Linked DNA regions of Callithrix jacchus. The protein of the gene in region 1 interacts with the protein of each later gene in a biochemical or structural test. Links are inferred from orthologs where the notes say so. Each region holds a gene or a part of one and is shown on either strand. Other genes may lie near its edges. The genes, in order: PRKACA and CREB1.

Evidence for each region.
Region 2: the proteins of PRKACA (region 1) and CREB1 form a complex in vitro, tested with the Homo sapiens proteins (2 studies listed by BioGRID, with this or other methods). The link is inferred for Callithrix jacchus from reciprocal best matches to the Homo sapiens genes PRKACA and CREB1.

Annotation. Positions count from the first base shown.
Region 1 is NC_133523.1:12,879,128-12,890,684, forward strand, and holds part of PRKACA (cAMP-dependent protein kinase catalytic subunit alpha), read right to left. Parts: intron 7,112-11,557; coding exon 7,050-7,111; intron 6,590-7,049; coding exon 6,461-6,589; intron 2,830-6,460; coding exon 2,731-2,829; intron 1,072-2,730; coding exon 989-1,071; intron 1-988.
Region 2 is NC_133507.1:128,981,989-128,994,074, reverse strand, and holds the start of CREB1 (cyclic AMP-responsive element-binding protein 1), read right to left. Parts: upstream 7,181-12,086; 5' UTR 7,085-7,180; exon of another isoform or gene 6,969-7,084; intron 1-6,968.

The DNA.
Region 1 (11,557 bases):
GGGATTACAGAGGTGAGCCACTGTGCCCAACCTCAAATTCTTGAGCTCAAGTGATCTTCTGGCCTCAGCCTCAAGAATAGTGGGACTACAGATGCATGCCACTTTTGGGGGCTCAAAAAAAATGCACAAAATCACCAACTGCAATTTTTTTTTTTAAGACAGAGTTTCACTCTTGTTGCCCCAGGCTGGAGTGCAGTGGTATGATCTCACCGCCACTTCTGCCTCCCGGGTTCAAGCCATTCTCTTGCCTCAGCCTCCTGAGTAACTGGGATTGTAGGTGCATACCAACATGCCTGGCTGATTTTTTTGTATCTTGTAAAGACACAAGATTTTTTGTAACTTGTAAAGACAAGTTTCATCATGTTGGCCAGACTGGTCTCGAACTCCTGACCTCAGGTGGATCTACCTGCCTCGGCCTCCCAAAGTGCAGGGATTACAGGCGTGAGCCACTGCACCTGGCCAATTTTTTTTTTTTTTGAGATGGCATGTCGCTCTGTCACCAAAGCTGGAGTGCAGTGGTGTAACCTCAGCTCAATGCAATTTCTGTCTCAGGGTTCAAGCAATTCTCCTGCCTCAGCCTCCCAAGTAGCTGTGATTACAGGTACCCACCACCCCACCCAGCTAATTTTTGTATTTTTAGTAGAGACAGGATTTCACCATGTTGACCAGGCTGGTCTCGAACTCCTGACCTTAGGTGATCTGCCTGCCTCGGCCTCCCAAAGTGCTGGGATTACAGGCGAGAGCCACTGCGCCTGGCACCAGCTTCAATCTGGACACCTAAGTTGCCATGTTTGCTCTGTTTGGCTTTGTGGTGGTTGAAGTATCACTCATTTCTCAGCATAGGGGAAGCAGAAACCCACAGAGTTCTGGGAGCTCACTTGCGTGTTCAAGCATGCTGGACTCCTCTGCATCCCCAGGGGTCTTGGTCGTGCACTGCCACCTGTGGACACCCTGACAGCCTGGTGTGATGGGGGGGTGGCCCGCTTACCTGAACCTTCCAATCCGCCGTAGGTGTGAGAACATCTCCCCGCCAGGCACGTACTCCATGACCATGTATAAGTTTGAGTTGTCCTGTGGGAGGCAGCGGCTGATCAGGAGCCCACTCCCTGAACCTCCCACCATATCTGAAGGCCTTGGGGCCTCCCTGGCTGGTGTTCAAACATTAAATGACAACAGGGATCCTGGCTCCCCATAGGAATCATGTTCTAGGGACCAGGTGCTTTGCTGGCTGAACCCACATGTTGCATTTCATTCTGCCCAGGAAGCACGGTTGACCCTCATCCTACTGTCATAAAGGTGAAGGCGAGGGCTGACTCAGTGGTATGTCGGGACCTGGCTAGCCTGCCCTGGCTGGAGAGAGAGAACTCCGAAGTAGCTTGCTCTGGGAGCTTGAGTAAGGCTTTGAGGCCACAGTTTTGTCATCTGTAAAGCAGGACCATGATGGGCTGCAGAATTAGTGGGGCCCAAAATTAAAAAGGTGACCCTTGTTAGAAAGATTATTACAGAGGGCCAGGTGTGGTGGTTCATGCCCGTATAATCCCAGTACTTTGGGAGGCCGGGGTGGGTGGATCGCTAGAGCCTGGGAGTTTGAGACCAGCCTGGGTAACACAGTAAGAGCCCTGTCTATACGAAAATTAGCTGGGCATCATGGTGTGCACCTGCAGTTCCAGCTACTCAGGAGGCTGAGGTGGGAGGATCGCTGCAGTCCGGGAAGTGAAGGTTGCAGTGAGCTGTGATTACACCACTGCACTCCAGCCTGGGTGACAGAGTGAGACTCTGCCTTAAAAAAAAAATTAGGCTGGGCATAGTGGCTGAGGCCAGGGCGGGCAGATCACTTGAGGTCGGGAGTTTGAGACCAGCCTGAGCAAAATGGCAAAATCTTATCTCTATTAAAAATACAAAAATTAGCTGGACATAGTGGCATGCACCTGTAATCCCAGCTACTCAGAAGGCTGAGTCAGGAGAATTGCTTGAACCCGGGAGGTGGAGGTTGTAGTGAACTGAGATCACGCCACTGCACTCCTGCCTGAGCAACAGAGTGAGACTCTGTCTCAAAAAAAAAAAAAAAAAAAAAAAAAGAGAAAAAAATTATTAAGGGTCTCAAGGTAGCAGGAGCAGCAGCGGCAAAGCATTAAACCAGGTGTGGGGTCCCTTGAAGCGCAGGCCCTTGTGATTCTCTGGGTCAGGCAGCAATGAAATTGGCCCTGAGTGGTCTCTCCTGTTTCTCATGATCACAGCCTTGGATGGCTCCCAAAATGGCTCCCAAAGGGTACTCAAGATGTGGCTGGAACTGTCGCAACTCCACCAGGCTGGAACTGGTATGATCCCCATTTTACAGATGAGAACTGAGGCTCAGGGAGAGAAGTCCCTTGCTCAGGGCCACACATCGGGAAGTACTGAGCTGGGAACTGAATCCTGGCTGCCTGGGGCGAAGTTTGTGCTCCTGGCTGTGGGTCAGGCTCTTGCTGTAAACCAGGTGCTGATTTTGAGGGATGTTATTGAGGTTCGGTAACTTGCCAAGGGAATTAACTACAAACTGGCCAGTCCAGGAACTGAAGTGGGGTCCACCAGAGTCCCAGCCTGACTCCCATCCCCTGGTCTCCCTCCTCCAGCGATCTTCTTCCACAAAAGTGGGTGGCCACTGATTGTCCTCAGCTCTGACCCTAGCCCTGGGGGCCGGAAGGCTAGGACCCAATGCAGTGACCCCGTCCCTTGGCGCGGGGACCCCACCTTGAAGGAGAACTCCAGTCTGACGAGGAACGGAAAGTTGACGGCTTGCAGGATGCGCTTTTCATTCAGGGTGTGTTCTATCTGTTTCAGCTTTACCACCTGGGAAGGGTAGGAGGGGAGGGCAGAGAGGAAGGAGAGGTGAGAGGGGCCTCATTTCCCCTGATGCCTGGAACTAGCGGTGCCAGGGCCTGGCTGGGTCCTTCAGCCAGAATCATTTGCATGCCTGTGGCCTGTTGGGCCCGTGGCTGATGCTGAGGACACAGTGTAAGGGAGGCTAGAGGCTGCTTGTTCTTGCATGGCTCAGAGTTCAGGGCAAAGAATACATGGGTTACCCCCAGAGAGGTCAGAGCCATGATGGCAGGCATCTTGGGCTTGTGGAGAAGCAGCAGCCCCTAAGGAGCCCACATAAAGTACCTGGCATGGTTTGGGGGAGGGGGAACCAGAGAGGGCTTCCTGGAGGAAGGGGCAGCTGAGCTGAAATTGAAAAGACAGGCAGGAGAAGACCAAGAGGTGAGGGATTTAGGAACTGCCTTTCCATTGTCTAGAACATTCCACACAGCAACATGAACCTCAGCCATCAGCTGTCCCCTACAGCACATGACTTGAGCAGGTACCTGGCACCTAGTCTCTCACGGAATCAAAATAGGAGTCCTAGAGGCCCACACTGGGAGGATACCAGTTTAAAAGACCAGACATAGGCTGGTGCGGTGGCTCACGCCTATAATCCCAGCACTCTGGGAGGCCAAGGCGGGCGGATCACCTGAGGTAGGGAGTTCGAGACCAACCAGACCAACATAGAGAAACCCTGTTTCTGCTAAAAAAAAAAAAAAAATACAAAATTAGCTGGGCGTGGGGGCACATGCCTGTAGCCCCAGCTACTCAGGAGGCTGAGGCAGGAGAATCACTTGAACCGAGAAGGGGGAGGTTGCGGTGAGTCGAGATCATGCCATTGCACTCCAGCCTGGGCAACAAGAGCGAAACTCCGTCTCAAAAAAAAAAAAAAAAAAAACCAAACAAACAAATAAACATATCATTAGACCAGCTGCAGTGGCTTATGCCTGTAATCCCAGCACTTTGGGAGGCCAAAGTGGATGGGTCACCTGAGGTCAAGAGTTTGAGACCAGCCTGACCAACATGGCAAAACCCTATCTCTACTAAAAATACAAAAATTAGCTGGGCATGGTGGTGAACACCTGTAATTCCAGCTCCTTGGGAGGCTGAGGCACGAGAATTGCTTGACCCCAGGAGGCAGAGGTTGCAGTGAGCTGGGATCGCACCATTACACTCCAGCCTGGGCGACAAGAGCGAAACTCTGTCTCAAAAACAAAATAAAAATGGAACGCTTGATGTAGGGACTGGGTGACTTTCAGGCATGGTTGGAACATCTTGGGCACGTGAATCTGCTTTTTCAACTTCTCTATTTTTTCTCATCTTTCCAGGGAGAATTTACCATCAGAGTGGAGACCTGTTGTACGCATACGGTGGACACTGGTTTTAAAGATACTTTGGTACAGAGAAAGAGAAAACGTTTCCAAAATCATGGAGGACTGGAAAAAAACCTAAAGGAATGTAAACTGTCTCATTAATGATATTTCACATTGATATTCTATGAAAATGGTGACACTATAGCTATACTGGCTTAATTCAAACACATCATGCCGGGTGCGGGGGCGCACACCTATAATCCCAGCACTTTGGGAGGCTGAGGTGAGCAGATCACCTGAGGTCAGGAGTTCAAGACTAGCCTGGCCAACATGGTGAAACCCTTTCTCATTTTTTTTTTTTTTGAGATGGAGTCTCACCCTATCCCTCAGGCTGGAGTGCAATGGCACAATCTAGGCTCATGGCAACCTCTGCCTCCTGGGTTCCAGCAATGCTCCTGCTTCAGCCTCCCAAGTGGCTGGGGTTACAGGTGCCCGCCACCATGTCCAGATAATTTTGTTTTTTGCTCATTTTTGTATTTTCAGTGAGATGGGGTTTCACCATGTTGGCCAGGCTGGTCTTGAACTCCTGACCTCAGGTGATCCACTGACCTCAGCCTCCCAAACTGCTGGGATTACAGGCATGCGCCACCTTGCCTGGTGGTGAAACCCTTTCTCTATTAAAAATACAAACATTAGCCAGGCGTGGTGGTGCATGCCTGTAGTTCTAGCTACTTGGGAGGCTGAGGCAGGAAAATCACTTGAACCTGGAAGGTGGAAGTTGCAGTGAGCTGAGATGGCACCATTGCACTCCAGCCTGGGCAACCAACCAGACATATCATTAGGCCAGGTGCAGAGGCTCACACCTGTAATCCCAGCACTATGGGAGGCCAAAGTGGGTGGGTCACCTGAGGTCAGGAGTTTGAGACCAGCCTGACCAACATGGCAAAACCGCATCTCTACTAAAAATACAAAAATTAGCCAGGCATGGTGGTGGACACCTGTAATACCAGCTACTTGGGAGGCTGAGGCAGGAGAATCACTTGAACCAGGGAGGTGGAGGTTGCAGTGAGATGAGATCACACCATTGCACTCCAGCCTGGGCGACAAGAGTGAGACTCTCTCAAAAAACAAAACAAAACAACCCAAAACATGTCATTAAAATGAACTTCATGAATGTCACTAGTTTCTTTCACTTTCTTTTTTAATTACAGGTTTTTTTTTTTACAAGATAGGGTCTGACTGTTTTGTCTAGGCTGAGTTCAAACGACCCTCCCACCTCAGCCTCTTTAGTAAGTAGCTGGGACTGCAGGCGTGCGCCACCATGCCTCTTTTTACTGTTTTTGATGGAGCAAACCGTAAAGTAAAATCACTTCTGTGGCTTGGGTTACATTTCTATTGGTTACATTGCTGCTTTATAGCAGTGCCTGGTATTAAGTTAGGTCACAAAAATATTTGCAGGAAGAAAGTCCACGTAAACACCACTTCCCCCAAGAATGCTCTTGGCCTCCTCCCTTTGGGCTGGTGTCTGACTCTGTGTCACAGTGCCTGGCTTCGAATCCATGGCTGGCCTGGAGAGGGAGCCTTGGGAAAGCAGAATAAGGCCCTTCTGACCCCTGGAGATGGCATGTTATGGGGATTAGGGGAATAGTGGGTGAGCCTGGCATGGTGGCTCATGCCTGTAATCCCTGCACTTTGGGAGGCTGAGGTAGGAGGATCAGTTGAGGCCAGGAGTTCAAGACCAGCCTGGGCAATATAGCAAGACCCCCTGTCAGGCATGGTAGTGTGTGCTTGTAGTCCCAGCTACCAGGAGGATCGCTTGAGCTCAGGAGGTTCAGGCTGCAGTGAGCTCTGAGTGCATCACTACACTCCTGCTTGGGCCAACGGAATGAAACCCTGTCCCCTCCCCCGAAAACAAAGCAAGTGGCCAGGTGCGGTGGCTGATGCCTGTAATCCCAACACTTTGGGGGGCTGAGGCAAGTGGATCACCTGAGGTCAGGAGTTCAAGACCGTCCTGGCCAACATGGTGAAACACCATCTCTACTAAAAATACAAAAATTAGCCAGGCATGATGGTGGGCACCTGTAATCCCAGCTACTCAGGAGGCTGAGGCAGGACAATTGCTTGAATCCGGAAGGGGGAGGTTGCAGTGAGCTGAGATTGTACCACTGCACTCCAGCCTGAGTGACAGAGTGAGACTGTCTCAAAAAAGGCAAGTGAGTGAATGGGTGGAATGGGGACTCCAAAGAGTAGACATAGTCCAGGCCAAGGCCTGGCAGGCAGGACCTGAGCGGGGCGGGCCGGCTCACCTTCTGTTTGTCGAGGATCTTCATGGCATAGTGGTTCCCGGTCTCCTTGTGTTTCACCAGCATTACCCGCCCGAAGGAGCCCGTGCCGAGGGTCTTGATTCGTTCAAACTGATCCAAGTGGGCTGTGTTCTGTCGGCAGAGGGGTCAGCAGGCTCAGGGCATACCCTCCCTGCAGCCTCCCGGGCTAAGGTCTGGGGCATCCTCTCCACCACCGGCAGAGGGGGCCCCGGGGAGCACATGGGCTGAGCGGGGTGAGGACAGGGGGTGGAAAATCAAGATGGCAGAGATTCCTTAAGGCGGGTGGCAGGGGCCAGATCCGGCTCTGGCCTAGGGCCCGGGAGCTGCTGGCAGCTGTGCTGGGGGCAGGGGCGGGCCGTTGGAAGGGGTGGTGGGATAGGGGTGCCTGGGATTCGGCAGTCAGGTGTCTCCATGCAGGAGCCCCCATGGGCACCTAGGGAGTCAATGGGGAGGGTGTGGAGCCTTCCACGGGGTTCCTGAAATTCTAGCTGTGTCACAGGGACACAGCCAGGGGACTGGGGGGTCACCAGCTCACCCCTCCCTCCCTGGGCTCTGCACCTGGCAGCCTTACCTGAGCGGGACTTTCCCATTTTTTAAGAAAATCTTCTTTGGCTTTGGCTAAGAATTCTTTCACTGAAAGGGAGAGAAGGGAGAGTTAGAGAACCCCGTCGCGCCGAGGTGGGTTCAGGTGATTTCTGGGGAGATACTTGGTAGAAAGTGGGGTGCAGCTGCCTCAACCGGGAACCTGAGGTTCTGGTGCCTCTCAGGGCCCTGGTTGGGCCTCCCTTGCTCCAGAGAGGTGGGATCCAAACACCACTCCATGCAAAGTGGGGTACAGAGAGTCTCAGGGGGTCACTCCCAGGGGAACAGAGAGAGGCGTCCAGGCAGGCCAGCCCACCCCCACTCGCCCCAGTTCTGACCGACATTCCACGGCCAGGGCCGGCGCCAGCTGGGGTATTTATAGCCTTGGGATTTGGCGGTTCCTCCAGCGCCTTCTCTGGGGAGGCCGGGCCTGGGGTGGAGGCCTCAGGGGCTCGGGTAGCAGGCGCCCTTGGGGGGCTCAGCTGTCACCTTGGCCCCCAGCTGGCCCTGTTCTCTCTGTGCCAATCCCAAGGGCTTTGCTCCAGAGCTGGTTCAAGGGAAGTCCCTCCCGATGCCCACTCCTCGGCCCCACGGCACCCCAAGGTGAACATCGCCACCCAGCTAATGTTGAAAGTTCCCCGGCCGGCCGCTGTCCACACTGTCTCATCTGAATGCCTTGCCAGCCTGTCTTGTATCCACGGCCTCCATTTAGCAACCCAGGAAACAGGCTTGAAAACCGTCATTCTCATCTCTGCTGAGACACAGCCCAGCAAAGCAGCTGTGGGCCAAGACCTGGAGACAAGATCCAGTTCAGAGCCCAGCCTGGTCTCCGATGAACTTCATGACTTTGGGCAACTGATCTTACCTCTCTAGGCCTCAGTTTTCCTCATCTGCAAAATGGGGTAGTTTTGAGGAATGAACGAGTTCATCTTGGCAAAGGGGGTTAGACAGTGGCCCACATGATGTTAGTGCCAGATAAATGTCAGCTATTATTATTTTATTTATTTATTTATTTATTTTTTAGAGACAGAGTTTTGCTCTCTCGCTCAGGCTGGAGTGCAGTGGTGTGATCTCCGCTCACTGCAACCTCTGCCTCCTGGGTTCAAGCGATTTTCCTGCCTCAGCCTCCTGAGTAGCTGGGATTTCAGGCACCCACCACCATGCCTGGCTAACTTTTGTATTTTTAGTAAAGACAGGGTTTCACCATGTTGGCCAGGCTGTCACAAACTCCTGACCTCAGGTGATCTGCCCACCTTGGCCTCCCAAAGTGCTGGGATTACAGATGTGAGCCATCGTGCTGGCCTACTATTTTTTAATTGAAGTATAAAATATGGGAAGACAGGCCAGGTACAGTGGCTGATGTCTGTAATCCCAGAACTTTGGGAGGTTGAGGCAGGTGGATCACTAGGTCAGGAGTTCAAGACCAGCTTGGTCAATGCAGTGAAACACCGTTTCTACCAAAAGTGCAAAAAAATTAGCCAGGCATGGTGGCACGCACCTGTAATCCCAGCTACTTGGGAGGCTGAGGCAGGAGAATCACTAGGACCAGGGAGGCTGAGGCAGGAGAATCACTTGGACCAGGAGGCAGAGGTTGCAGTGAGCTGAGATCACACCATTGCACTCTAGCCTGGGTGACAGAGCAAGGCCCTGTCTTCAAAAAAAAAAAAAAAAAATTACCCAGGTATGGTGGCACATGCCTGTAATTCTAGCTACTCAGGAGGCTACGGCAGAAGAACTGCTTGAACCCAGGAGGCGGAGTTTGCAGTCAGCCGAGATCGCACCACTGCACTCCAGTTTAGGTAACAGCAAGACTTGGTCTTGGAAAAAATAATTAAATAAATAAATAATTTTTAAAAGGGCAGATGTGGTGGCTCATGCCTGTAATCCCAGCACTTTGGGAGGCCGAGGCGGGCAGATCACCTGAGGTCAGGAGTTCAAGATGATCCTGGCCAACATGGTGAAACCCCATCTCTACTAAACAAATATACAAAAATGAGCCAGGCATGGTGGCAGGCGCCTGTAATCCTAGCTACTTGGGAGGCTGAGGCAGGGGAATTGCTTGAACCCACGGGGTGAAGATTGCAGTGAGCCAAGATTGCACCATTGCACTCCAGACTGGCAGACAGGAGTGAGACTGAGTCTTAGAAAAATAAAAATAAAAAAGCAAAAATAAATAAATATGGGGAGAGACGGGGCAAGGTGGTTCATGTCTGTAATTCCAGCACTTTGGGAGGCCGAGGCGGTTGGATCACTTGAGGTCATGAGTTTGTAACCAGCCTGGCCAACATGGTGAAATCCCATGTCTATTAAAAATACAAAAATTCGCCGGGCATGGTGGTGGGTGCCTGTAATCCCAGCTATTTGGGAGGCTGAGGCAGGAAGATCTCTTGAACCTGGGAGGTGGAGGTTGCAGTGAGTGGAGATCATGCTGCTGCACTCCAGCCTGGGGGACAGAGTAAGACTCTGTCTCAGAAAAGTTCCAGCTACTCAGGAGGCTGAGGCAGGAAGATCATTTAAAGCCTGGGAGATTGAGGTTGCAGTGGGCTGTGATCATACCACTACACTTTAGCCTCAGCGGCACAGTGAGACTGTCTCAAAAAAATAATTATACCCTGGGAGGCCAAGATGGAGGGATTGCTTGAATACAGGAGCCCAAGACCAGCCTGGACAACATCAAAACCCTGTCTCTACAAAAAATAAAAAGCATTGGCCAGGTGCGGTGGCTCACACCTGTAATCCCAGGACTTTGGGAGGTTGAGGTGGGTGGATCACCTGAGGTAAGAGTTCGAGACCAGCCTGACCAACATAGTGAAACCCCATCTCTACTAAAAATATAAAAATTAGCCGGGCGTGGTGGAATATGCCTATAATCCCAGCTACTTGGGAGGCTGAGGCAGGAGAATCATTTGAACCCAGGAAGTGGAGGTTGCAGTGAGCTAAGACTGTGATATTGCACTCCAGCCTGGGCAAGAAGAGGGAAACTCCATCTCAAAAAAATAAAAAATAAAAAATAAATTAGCTGGGTGTAGTGGTGGGCACCTGTAGCTTTAGCTACTCAGAAGGTAGCGGTGGCAGGGCTGCTCAAGCCCGGGAGGTCGAGGCTGCAGTGAGCCGTGGCTGAGCCTGCACTCCAGGCTGGATGACAGAGTGAGGCCCTGTCTCAAAACAAACAAACAAACAAAAAAGAAAGTAGTAATAATAATAAGAAAACAAATGAGGGGATACATTGAGTGCTCGAATTTTAAATGTGCAGCCTGAGAGATTCTTACACTATGGACTTGTCCTTTTAACCACCACCTAGGGCTACAAGGGACCAGCCCTCACTGTGTTTTCTATGCTTTGTTCTGACCCTATGGGGTGGGAGCTGCTGTTATTCCCACTGTACACAGGAGAAGACTGATCAGGTCTGCGGTCACCTGCCTGCCCCAACTTCCCATGAGATTAACTATTTCACTGCCAACTCAGCCGCTGGTTTCAGCACCAAGTCTAGTGCACCAGGGTGGCCAATGTGGGCAGAGCTGTCTTCAACCCCCTGATGTTCCTGGGTTTGCTACCACTCTGAGGGGCCCCATGCATCTGCACTTTGGGACTGCTGGTCGTCTACCTGCCAGGAATCCCACATGGTCTTCTGAGAAGGGGGAACCACCCTCACTACTTGTCCCCAAGGCTCTCCCTCAGCATTTAGAGAGCAGAGCCCTCACTGGGCTAGAAAGTGGTAGACTGCGGCCGGGCGCGGTGGCTCACACCTGTAATCCCAGCACTTGGGGAGGCCAAGGAGGGTGGATCACAAGGTCAAGAGATCGAGACCATCCTGGTCAACAAGGTGAAACCCCGTCTCTACTCAAAATAAAAAAATTAGCTGGGCATGGTAGCACATGCCCGTAATCCCAGCTACTCAGGAGGCTGAGGCAGGAGAATTGCTTGAACTCAGGAGGCGGAGGTTGTGGTAAGCCGGGATCGTGCCATTGCACTCCAGCCTGGGTAACAAGAGTGAAACTCCGTCTCAAAAAAAAAAAAAAGAAAGAAAGTGGTAGACTGGGTCAGGCGCAGTGGCTCCCCGCCTTTAAACCCAGCACTTTGTGAGGCTGAAGCGGGCGGATGGATCACAAGGTCAGGAGTTCGAGACCAGCGTGACTAATGTGGTGAAACCCCATCTCTACTAAAAATACAAAAATTAGCTGGGCATGGTGGTGTACGCCTGTAATCCCAGCTACTCAGGAGGCTGAAGCGGGAGAATTGCTTGAACCCGGGAGGTGGAGGTTGCAGTAAGTTGAGATCACGCCACTGCACCCAGTCTGGGTGACAAAATGAGACTCCATCCCAAAAAAGGAAAAAAAAAGTGGCAGATTGGGGAGGAGAAAGACTGTGGTCAAGAAGGCCCCAGAAAGAATGACTAGGCCAAGAGGGGACAGGCAGTGAAGGGCCAGGAATCCTAGGTGGGTGTCTGGCTGGGCTACCAACTAGCCCAGCAGCCTCTCTGAGCCTGGTGGCTGCACC
Region 2 (12,086 bases), on another chromosome or scaffold:
CCTGAGTTTAAAAGGTCATATAACCTAAAAATAGAATCAGCTCACAAACTACTTAATAAAGTCTCCTTATATAATAAAATGCCTCAAATTGTATGTTAAAAAATGAAGAGGCTCTTTATGTGTTGATACAGAATTGCCAAGCCATATTAAGTGGTGAGGTAAAAGCATGATATAGGAGAAGAGTGTACATGTAGTATGCTACCATTTGTACAAAAAGGGGGAGACAGTACATGAATAATTGATTGTGGTTGCATTAATTAAATACCTCTGAAAGGACAAATAAAAAATTGCTAACACTTAGGTAATCGGGCAAGAGAATGTAGGGCATTTTGCTGCATTATATTTTATGTTTTGAATTACATACCACCTGAATGACTTACTCAAAAAACCAAACTGGAAATATAAAAAATATACTCTTTACTTCACCAAAGGTAATCACTTTTTCCTTTGACTGCTTTCTTATGACAAATACTTTGCCTTAGTCACTATGTCCCCAACAGTTCCTTGAGGGTAGAGATAAGACAGTGTAATTCATCTCTGGATTTGTTGTAGCTTCTGACCCACTGTATTACATAAAGTAGTAATAAATAATTTTTAAAATGGCCGGGCTCAGTGGCTCACGCCCGTAATCCTAACACTTTGCGAGGCCGAGGTGGGTGGATCACCTGAGGTCAGGAGTTCATGACCAGCCTGGCCATCATGGTGAAACCCCACCTTTATAAAAAAAAAAAAATTTTTTTTAAATAACAGACCAGCTAGGTGTGGTGGCTGACACCTATAATCCCAGGCATTCAGGACCAGCCTGACCAACATGGTGAAACCCTATCTCTACTAAAAATACAAAAATTAGCCAGGCGTGGTGGTGTGTGCCTGTAGTTCCAGCTACTTAGGGAGGTTGAGGCAGGAGAATCACTTGAACCCAGAAAGCAGAGGTTGCAGTGAGCTGCGATCATGTCACTGCACACCAGCCTGGGCAACAGAGCAAGATTCCACTTCAGGAAAAAAATTAAAACAAAAAAACCTGGCCAACCCTTGAGCACTTGTACAATGTCTGGAATTTAATATGTTATTACTTTATAGTTAACCCCACAATTCTAAAGTAGTTATTCTACATTGATCAGCAAAGCAAGTGAGGTATTGAGAAGTTAAAATAACTTGCCCAAGAGCCCACAGGCAGGAAGTTAAAATAAAGCTTAAGGGACTAGCTATCATTAGTTATAGCCCTAAGGTACTTTCTGTATCTCTCACAATCTTATGAAGTAAGTATTATTATAACATATTATTACATATGAGGAAACTGAGGTTGAGAAAGATTAAGAAACTTCCTTTGGGACACAAAATTCCTTTAGGGTAGGCACATGATAGTAGTGGCAATGCTTGGATTCAGACCCAGGCCTGTGATTCCAAACCTCATGCTATTTCAACTACATTCTCTGTCACAGTGAGTGCTAAATAAATATTTTAATTACCATAAACTGTTGTCTCAAGTGATACTGTAGTAAAGATGAGTTCACAGGTGGGTAAGAAAAAAAAAATCCTGCATTTTCCATCCTTACATCTTGCTATGTTCCTAAATTTAGATTTGAGCTCTATTCAATAAAGAAGCCATGAAAGTTACACCATTTATCAAGGTATTTGCAAAACTATGTCACAAACTGGCTGTAAAAAAGTTTATGCAACTCATATTTGATAAGCTATTTATGGAATAAATAAAATTATAAATGTCAGTAATATACCATAAGCATTAGGTTAAAAATAATTTTCTCTACTGTTATAATGAGGAGGAAAAATTTAAAAATAGGTGAAGGAGAACACATACTCGGTTTTACCATAACCATACTGTACCCAAACAAAACCAAATGTCTTAAGAATGAGAGACAAATAAAGCTACTTTTCTATGAAGAAACCAAAAATTCTAATGAGACCTAATCAAGAATATGAGTTTCAGAAAGTATAAAAAGAAAGGTGCCATTTTTATAAATCAATTTTCTAAGTTTTTTCAGGCTCCTAATGGAATAAAAAATTCATTCAAAACAGGTAACAAGTTTTAAATTCCCAAAGAGGTGTTCTTTTAACATTCTTCAGGCCAGTTCTGTCAAATAATTTATTAGCTTTCTAAATACAGGTGTTCATGAAAAAAAAAAAAAATTCAAGCAGATCCAGCTGTAATTTTTACTGATGGCTGGGACAGTACGGAAGTACAACTTAGTAACATGTTCCAGATGAATGTTCAAATATTAATGAATATAAAAGTTTGAAGTCTCACCTGGAATTCCTAAGAATCACAAATTATAAATGTATAAATAATAAAGTAGATCAGGCATGGCGGCTCACACCTGTAATCCAAGCACTTTGGAAGGTGTAGGTGGGCAGATCACCTGAGATCAGGACTTCAAGACCAACCCGGCCAATACGGTGAAATCCCGTCTCCACTAAAATACAAAAATTAGCCTGGCATGGTGGCCTGTGCCTGTAATTCCAGCGATTCCGGAGGCTGAGGCCGAGATTCATTTGAACCTGGGAGGCGGAGCTTGCAGTGAGCCACGACTGCGCCACTGCACTCCATCCTGGGCAACAAGGACACTCCATCCTTCATAAATAAATAAATAAATAACTCTTGGGGAAGACTAATGAAAGAACCTATCAGCAAATTTTTTAAAATTTTTTTGAGACGGAGTCTTACTCTGTTGCCAGGCTGGAGTACAGTGACGCGATCTTGGCTCAACGCAACCACTGCCTCCCGGGTTCAAGCAATTCTCCTGCCTTGGCCTCCTGAGTAGCTGGAATTATAGGCACGGGCCACCAGATCTGATAATTTTTGTATTTTTAATAGAGATGGGGTTTCACCATGTTGGTCAGGATGGTCTCAATCGATTGAACTCAAGACCGTCCCACCTCGGTTTCCCAAAGTACTGGAATCGCAGGCGGGAGCCACCATGTCCGGCCATCAGTAAACAATTTTTAAAAAATCTAACAAACGAAAAGTCATATATACATACATACATACATATATGTATGTATGTATGTATGTAAATTTTGAGACGGAGTCTGTAATTCCAGCTACTTGGGAGGCTGAGACCGGAGATTCCTCTAAACCTTGTAAGCGGAGCTTGCAGTGAGTTGCCACCACTCCACTGCACTCCATCCTGGGCAACAAGAGCCAAACTCTATCTCAAATATTTTAAAATATCTCTTGGGCATGACTAAAAAAGAACGTATCAGCAAACGATTTTTGTTTTTTGTTTTTTTTTGAGACGGAGTCTCGCTCTGTCACCAGACTGGAGTGCAGTGGGACGATCTCGGCTCACTGCAACCTCCACCTCCCGAGTAGCTGGGATTATAGGTATGCACCACCAGACCCACTAATTTTTGTATTTTTAGTAGAGATGGGGTTTTACCATGTTGGCCAGGATGGTCTCCATCTATTAACCTTGTGATCGGTCCGCCTTGGGTTTCCAGAGTACTGGGATTACAGGGATGAGCCGCAGCGCCTGGCCATCAGTAAACAAAAGAAAACCTCACAAATGAAGAGGTATATGTATGTGTGTGTGTGTATATGTATATACACATATATGTATATATATAATTTTGAGACGGAGGCTGTGTAATCCCAGTTACTCGGTAGGTTGAAGCCTGAGATTCGCTTAAACCCGGGAGGCAGAGTTTACAGTGAGTTGCGACAGCGCCACTGCACTGCATCCTGGGCAACAAGAGCGAAACTCCGTCTCAAATAAACTAACTTTTGGGCAAGATTAGAGAAAGAACACATGAGTAAACAATTTTTTGTTGTGTTTTAAGACGGAGTCTCGCTCTTGTTGCCGAGGCTGGAGTGCAGTGGCGCAATCCCGGCTCACTGCAACCCTCTGCCTCCCGGGGTTCAAGAGATTCTCCTGCCTCAGCCTCCAGAATAGCTAGGATTATAGGCATGTGCGACGAGACCCGCTAAATTTTGTATTTTTAGTAGAGACGGGGTTTCACCATGTTGGCCAGGATGGTCTCCATCTATTGACCTCGTGATCCGCCTGCCTCGGCTTCCCAAAGTACTGGGATTACGACGAGCCGCCGTGCCCAGCCATCAGTAAACAATTTTTTAAAAATCTCACAAAGGAAGAGTCATATACATATATACGTATATATACGTGTATATATACGTATATATACACACACACATATATATATGTGTATATATACACACACACACACATATATATATATATTTTAATTTTGAGATGGGAGTCTATAATCCCAGCTACTCCGGAGGCAGAGGCCCGCTTAAACCCGGGAGGCAGAGCTTGCAGTGAGTCGTGACAGCGCCACTGCACTCCATCCTGGGCAACAAGAGTAAAACTCCATCTCAAATAAATAAATAAATAAATAAATAAATAAATGAAAATATCTCTTGGGCAAGACTAAAGAAAGAACATATCAGTAAACAATTTTTTGTGGTTTTTTTTTCTTTTTTTGAGATGGAGTCTCACTCGGTCACCCAGGCTGAAGTGCAGTGGAACGATCTTGGCTCACTACAACCTCTGCCTCCTGGGTTCAAGCAATTCTCCTGCCTCAGCTTCCCGAGTAGCTGGAATTATAGGCGCGAGCCACCACACCCGGCTAATTTTTTTTTTTTTTAGTAGAGACTAGATTCACCATGTTGGTCAGGCTGGTCTCCAACGCCTGACCTCAAGTCATCCGCCCACCCAGGCCCCCCAAAATGCTGGGATTACAGGCATAAGTCGCTGCGCCCGGCGTATATTACTATTTTTGAGACGGAGTTTCGCTCTTGTTGCCCAGGCTGGAGTGCAATGGTGTGATTTTGGCTCACCCTCACCTCTGCCTCCCGGGTTCAAGCGATTGTCCTGCCCCAGTCTCACGAGTAGCTAGGATTACAGGCATGCGCCACCACGCCCGGCTAATTTTGTATTTTTGGTAGAGACGGGGTTTCTCCATGGTCAGGTTGGTCTCGAACTCCTGACCTTAGGTGATCCGCCCGCCTTGGCCTCCCAAAGTGCTGGGATTACAGACAGGCATGAGCCACCGCGTATAAGCTTAACAAGAAAAAAAATTCTACTCAACTGATGGTGGCTTGCAGAACATCATTAAGGAAAAACAGTAACCTACCATTATCAATACTGTAATAATTTTCTCAGCGATTGGAAGTAAAATCATTTTCCCAATATTTATAGAGAACCTCTCTTTACTGTATCTTATTTTCTTGGCAATGACAAATTGATAATGTGGTCTTTTTTAAAGAGAAGCAATACAGCAAAGCAGGTTTTGGAAAAGTGACTTACATAGAGAAAAATAAGACACTGTTTCTACTGCTAATTAATATTTGTTCCTAACCAGAAGCCTTGTGTGTATCAATCACAATGCAACCATACAGTGACAGACAAATACTTTTAAAACAAACTTGTTCATCTTTTGCACCACCTAAAATAACTGCTTGGGGCTTGACTTTTAAATCAGGAAATGAGCCATAAATATAAAAGATTTCAAGAGGCAGCAATCAAAAGTATCTTCCACTAAACCTTTAGAAGGCAGTCGTAAGCCGAGGTTAGAATTATAACTTGGGATGGCATTACAAACTTAAATAGGTCATACGACATGTCCTTTAAAAATTGTCTTTTAATTTTTAAATGACTTTTCTGCTGTCCTTTTTTCCCAACAGGCAAAGAAAAAATACAGCTTGTGGCTTAAATTCTCAGTCTCAAGACCGGGGTTACCTACTGCATGAGAGACAAATAATGGATACTTAAAAGTCTATTTTTAGAATTAGTATTCCGTCTCTCATTAAAGTTCACACAGAAATTTGTGGGAAATATGGTAGGGGGGTGGGACTGAGGGTGTAGGGAGAGTCAGATGACCCAAAACGCGGTTGACAAGGCTGCACCCCGCGAAATGATGTAAAACAAGAGTACGTCCGCTGATACTCGTTTCAACGAAGTGTTTCAAAGTGATAATTACCTTATTGAAAAGGGTTAAAACCGAAACTGTTTTCAAACACCAGCTTCCCTTTTATAAGATTCCAACAGTTCTTTAAAGTTACTACAAATGTTTTTTTTTAGCACCCTTTCTCCCAAAAAGCATGCATTTCTATGACTACAGGATTAATTAAAAAAAAAAAAAAAAAGGCAAGGGGGTGAGGGAGTCAAAAATTCCCCCCAGGCACAAGCCCTCATCTCTCAACTAAGCAACACAGGGCAGAAAGCAGCATTTCCTCAACGGTGTGGGAGCGGGAGGGAAAGGGCATGAATAAAATACAGCACGAGAGGAAACCTTGGGTTTCGAACTTTATTGCACAAAGAGTGGAGAGAAGAGTAGGTCAGACGTTGCAGCTCTTCCCCTTGCGAAGCGGGCATGGCAGACAGCGAGGCCACCGGGAAGGCAGCAGGCACCTTCACCTCCTCTGCCCTCAACTGTCGCCTTCTTCCTCCTCCACCCCCACTGGCACCCAGGCGGCGGCTGCCCCGGAGGCCGGGCCGGGTCGGGTCGGGGGCGAGGCGGGCGGCGGGGGCCGGATGAGCGAGCTGCGCTGGGGGCAACTCAGGGCCGAGCAGGCGGCCTCCCCCGGGGCGGCTCCCGGATCCCGGCTCCCGGCTTCGCGCCCGGCCCGGCGGCGGCGGCGGGAACGCGGGCGCCAGCTCGCCGCGGCCGGCCGCCCGCACACACCCCCGGCCGCCGGCTCCCACCCCGCCCGCCGCCCGCCGCCCGCCGCCCCCCGCCATGAGCGCCGCCGCTGGCTGCAGGCAGAGTCGCTGCCGCCCCGGCCGCCGCTGGCTCCAGTCCGCCGCCATTATTCTTTGTTCGCTGCGAGCGGCGGCGATGTTGTGGGGCTCGGGCGGAGGCTCCATCTTTACCGCGGCCCCTCCTGCGAGGGGAAGGCCCCAAGCGCGGGTGTCCGGCGCCTCCCCGTCCCCCCTCCGTCCCCCCGGCTCTCTCTGGCTCCTGCCTCCTCCTCCTGCTCCTCTTACCGGTGGTACAAGCTCCTCCGTCACTGCTTTCGTTCACGGCCCGGATCTCGCTGGAGTTTTATTCTCTCCCCCACGTAACACACCGCGTCAAACTACACCTCCGCCGCGTCACTCACCAACACTCCGCTTCTCCCAGCCGCCCGGGCCACAGGCAGCAGCAGCCGCCGCCGACTGAGGAGCCGCAGCCAGGGAGCCAGCCAGCGCCGCCCAGTGCCGAGTGCGCAGCGGCCGCGCACGGAAACAGCCGAGCTCGGCCCGGAGGAGCTCGAGCGGCCCCACCCCCGCGCTGGGGACGGAACTTGCCGAAGGCCTTCGGGCTTCTTCGGGCGAGGCGAAGAGGTTGCGCCGGTAGAGGAAGGCGAAGACGGGTTGAGCCCCGCGCTGGGAGGGGTGGTCTAAACCGCTACGCTGCGTTCGAATCGATAAAGCCGGCGGCGGAAATTTGAAGGAGGAAACGGGGTTTGTGTGTGGCCCAGTGGGGAATTCCCGAGGGGTGTCAGCGACTTAGTGGAAACCCCCGCGCAGGCCTGCCTCTGCGGCGGTGAGCCGCGGGCTCTGCCCTTCAGCGCCTCCAGCCCCGGGAACTTTCCGACGCCGCCGGCAAGCGGGCGCAGCGCCGCTCCGGCTGGAACGCGGACGGACCGCGGGAGCCGTGCAGGCTGGGGAGGAAGGGCTGCTGCGCCTCTGCCAGCGTCCCAGGGCCTGGGGCTTGGGGTTCGGGGACGTCGTGGGACCCAGTGGGGACGAGTTTTCCTTTCGGAGACTCAGCGGAGAAACCCGGAGGCCTCCGGCGGGGCATGGTTTCCCGGGGGACGTTGGCTCGGATACCGTGGCACCTCTCGGGTTCTGCCCGGGCCTGCCTGGACCACTGGAAATATGCCCTATTCCACCTCCCCGCCTTTCTCCAGACAACATCCTGTGTCGCGTTCTTTCCTCAGCCTGTTTTCTACAGCAAGGGATTCGCACCCTCAGCACTGTGAACCCAGCAGGGGAACTTCCGTGGCTGGAAACTACTGAACTGCTCTCTTAGAGGTTGCCCAGGCCACACCACTAGGTCCCCATTCTCCTTGGTAGTAAACTCTGCAGCCCTCTCTCTGTCTCTGGGCTTTGAAGTCCTTTTTTTTTTTTTTTTTTTTTTTGAGACAGAGTCTCAATCTTGTTACCCAGGCTGGAGTGTAGTGTTATTATCTCGGCTCACTACAACCTCCGCCTCCCGGGTTCAAGCGATTCTCCTGCCTCAGTCTCCCAATTAGCTGGGATTACAGGCACCCGCCACCACGCCCAGCTAATTTTTGTATTTTTACTGGAGACAGGGTTTCACCATGTTGGCCAGGCTGGTCTGGAACTTCTGACCTCTGGTGATCCGCCCGACTCAGCCTCCCAAAGTGCTGGGATTACAGGCGTGAGCCACCCCTCCCTGCCTCCAGTCTTAATCATTCTTTTTCTAAAAGAGATGTGTCTTTAGGAAGCAGAGAGGGTTCAAATCCGGACTCCGCCCCTGACTCACTTCTTTTGTAATGAAAGAGTTATTCTTGGTACTCTAGGTCCCCTACTGTTTTCTTCTGGACTTTGCCCTTAACGAGCCTCCTTTCCTTCTGTTGCTCTCAATCTTTCCTTCTCTACCGGCTCTTTCATTTACACATGCTTAAGTCTCTCAATTCTTTAAAAAGATTTCTCCCTAAATCGCTCTCCAATAACTCCAGGTGTCTCTTACCCCATGGACAGTCTCTCACATCCCACTCCCCAGCTCACTTCAGTGTCCCCACCACTCACCTGAATGGCTCTGAATTGTCAAGAGACAAGCTTCATGTCTGTAAATGAAGCGGATCGTTTTCAGTTCTCATTTTACAAGCCCTCATCCCAGTATTTGACACAATTGACCACACTCTTCTCCAAATATACTTTTCCCTCTGGTCTGTGTCACAGATTTCCTCCCTACCTGTGTTTGCTCTTTAACAACCAGTTCCTCCTGTATCTATCCTCTTATACATTGGAATCATGCTGAGCTAAACCCTGGCCCTCTTTCTAAGTCTCCCATGTACACTTTCCTAGGTGGTCTTATGCTCTTCCAGTAGCATCAACTACCCTCTGTCAAAGACTCTTCAATCCATAACTCAAGCTTGGATCTTGCTCTGGAACCCTCCATTTGTATTTCCAACAGATTGCCTTCGGTATACTTTTCATTTGGATGACTTAAGGCATTTCAGACTCAACCGGTATATCATAATCTCTTCAAAACGCTCCTCCCATAATCCCTGGTTCAGTTAAGGGTATCTTAACATCTCCTCAGTTCATGCCAGACACCTAGCACACCTCGAACACACAACAGAATCACCTACATCTGTCTGCTCCCTGGAAAGTTGGATTTGTGACCTCTATTTCCACGACTGTTTTTTCATTCCCATTCTGGTCTAAACCACTGTCACCTCTTGCTTGAAGTCCTATGATAACCCATTCAGGTCCTCCAAAACTGCTCTTGCCTCATTCCAATACATTTGCCATACTGCTGCCAGAGTAATATTTTCAATATAAATCTGATCAAATCATTGACCTGCTTAAATGCCTTGGTGGCCTCCCCTTGCTTACCACACATTGTCTAAGCTCCATTATCTAGACTTGTCTTTCTCTCCATCTGTCCCCCTAGTTGCCTGCACTCCTGCCATAGTATTTTGATTTTTTCCAGGCTCTCCTTTTTTTATTCCCTACCATAGGCTCTCACTTCAGGGCAATTACACATGCCCTTCCTTCCCATAGAATTCTTTTCTCTCACCCATTTGTCCTACCTAACTGTAATTTATCACTTTCCTTTCCAATTCATCATACTTCTCATTATTTGTTTAGTGCCCATGTAATTGTGCAGGTAGGGACCACATCTGTCTTGTTCACTACCAGCCTTTCCTCTCCTTTCCCATCCCTAGCAACAGCACAATGTCTGGAATAGAGTGTTACTTGTTAAATATTTATCGAATACATAGTGAATTTCTGAGTTGTCCTGGGCAAAGTTCTTAACATTTGAGTCCAAATCCTGGCTCTCAGTGAGTTCAGGTTGCTGTAATAAAGTGCTATATAGACTTGATGGCTTATAAACAATAGACATTTATTTCTCATAGCTCTGGAGGCTGGATGTCTGAAATCAGACTACCAACATGGTCAGGTTCTGGTGAAGGCCCTCTTCAGGGTTGTAGATGGCTGTCTTTTATCTTTGTCTTACAATGCAGAAAGACAGCAAGAGCACTCAGGGTTTCCGTTTATAAGGCACTAATCCCATTCACAAGGGGTTTACCTCCCAAAGGCCTCACCTCCTAATACCATCACATTTAGGGTGAAGATTTCAAAATATGAATTTGCAGGAGGCGGGGGCAGTGGTGAATTCATTGCACTGGCTCAGCCACTTACTAGCTAATGTCTTTGGGCAAATCGTTCACTCTTGTGCCTCAGTTTTCCCATTTGTAAAATAAAGGTGATAATAGCGCCTACCTCGTAGTGTTATTGTAATGATTACATAACATAATACATATGAAGTATACTTGGAAGAATGTTTGTACTTGGAACAATGTTAAGCAAAATGTTACCTATTACTAACTTTTACTTGGATATCTAGCCTTGTGTCAAATACGTTTTCAAAATTGAGTTCATCTTTCTGCTCTTTTACCATGACAGTATACATGATACCAAAACTTTGGAATTATTTTCTCTTAACCTATAATTATCACCCACAAATATGGTGAGTTTTTATTTAATTGTACTTTTTTATTTATTTAGAGATGGAGTTTTGCTCTGTCGCCCAGGCTGGAGTGCAGTGGCATGATCTCAGCTCACTGCAACCTCTGCTCCCAGGTACAAGCAATTCTCCTGCCTCGGCCTCCCAAGTAACTGGGATTACAGGTGCACGCCACCACACCCAACTTTTTTGTATTTTTAGTAGAGACGGGGTTTCACCATATTGGCCAGGCTGATCTTGAACTCCTGACCTTGTGATCCACCTGCCTCGGCCTCCCAAAGAGCTGGGATTACAAGCGTGAGCCAACACACCCAGCCAGTGAGTGTTTATTTTAAAATGTCCTCGTATTCATTCTTCCTTTTTATACATGCTAACCTTCATTCAGATCCTATTATTTTGCTAACTTCCTAAGTGGAAGGCCAGCTTCCAATATTCACTTGGGCCTTACTGTCAGACCAGTGGGCCTCAGTTATTAAAACATGAATTCTTCTTGACTTCTGTTCTGATGGCCTCTCTTTCTACCTAACTTTATTCATTCCAATGCAAGTTATTTTACTACTAATATTTTGGGTATACTCCAGATTTTCAACCTCTCTACTTTGACATATCTCTCTTGGGTCTACTCTAGCATTTTCAGCCTCTCTACTTTCTGACATTTCTACTTTCAGCATCCAAGTTTTGTCTCTGGGATTTGGAAGCCACCTCCATTGTAAAAGAAATTTTTTGTGGGATTCGGCTCTCACTGTGTTGCTCAGGCTGAAGTGCAGTGGCTGTGCACAGTGGCAGACATTGTGCGTGACAGCCTTGCACTCCTGGGCTCAAGCAACTCTCTTGCCCTCAGCCTCCTGAGTAGCTGAGACTACAGGTGACCCCCATTTTTGACTCAGTTTTCCAATAGGAAAATGTGGTCAATATCAGGGAGCTGAAAGTAGAGGAGCACACATGGATGTAACTAGGTAGAGTGTAAGAAAAGTATCTTGAAAGAGGTCCAGAATAGGGAAAAGGTCCCATAAGATGATTATAAAATGCTTCAAAGATAAAGTGGTATTTGAGAGCTTTTCTATAATCACAACTTCCTTTTCCTGTTATTTTTTGCTCTTGTTTCTGCTGTTGAATATAATTTTTACTCTCACTATGAACTCAAGTTCCATGAACCCTGCCTACCCTAGTTCATCACCTCCTGTGATTTGCTTTCCTACCTAACCCCAAGACCATGGTGACTATTTCATTTATTCCAGAAAATATCTGTGGAGCACCTACTTTGTGCCATGCATTCTTCTACAGACTGGGGAAATTATGAACAAAACGGATTGTCTTTCCTCACAAATATTCTAACATTTTCAGCCTCTCTACTTTCTGCATTTCTCTGTTTGCTCACTCTTTTGTGCCATCATGCA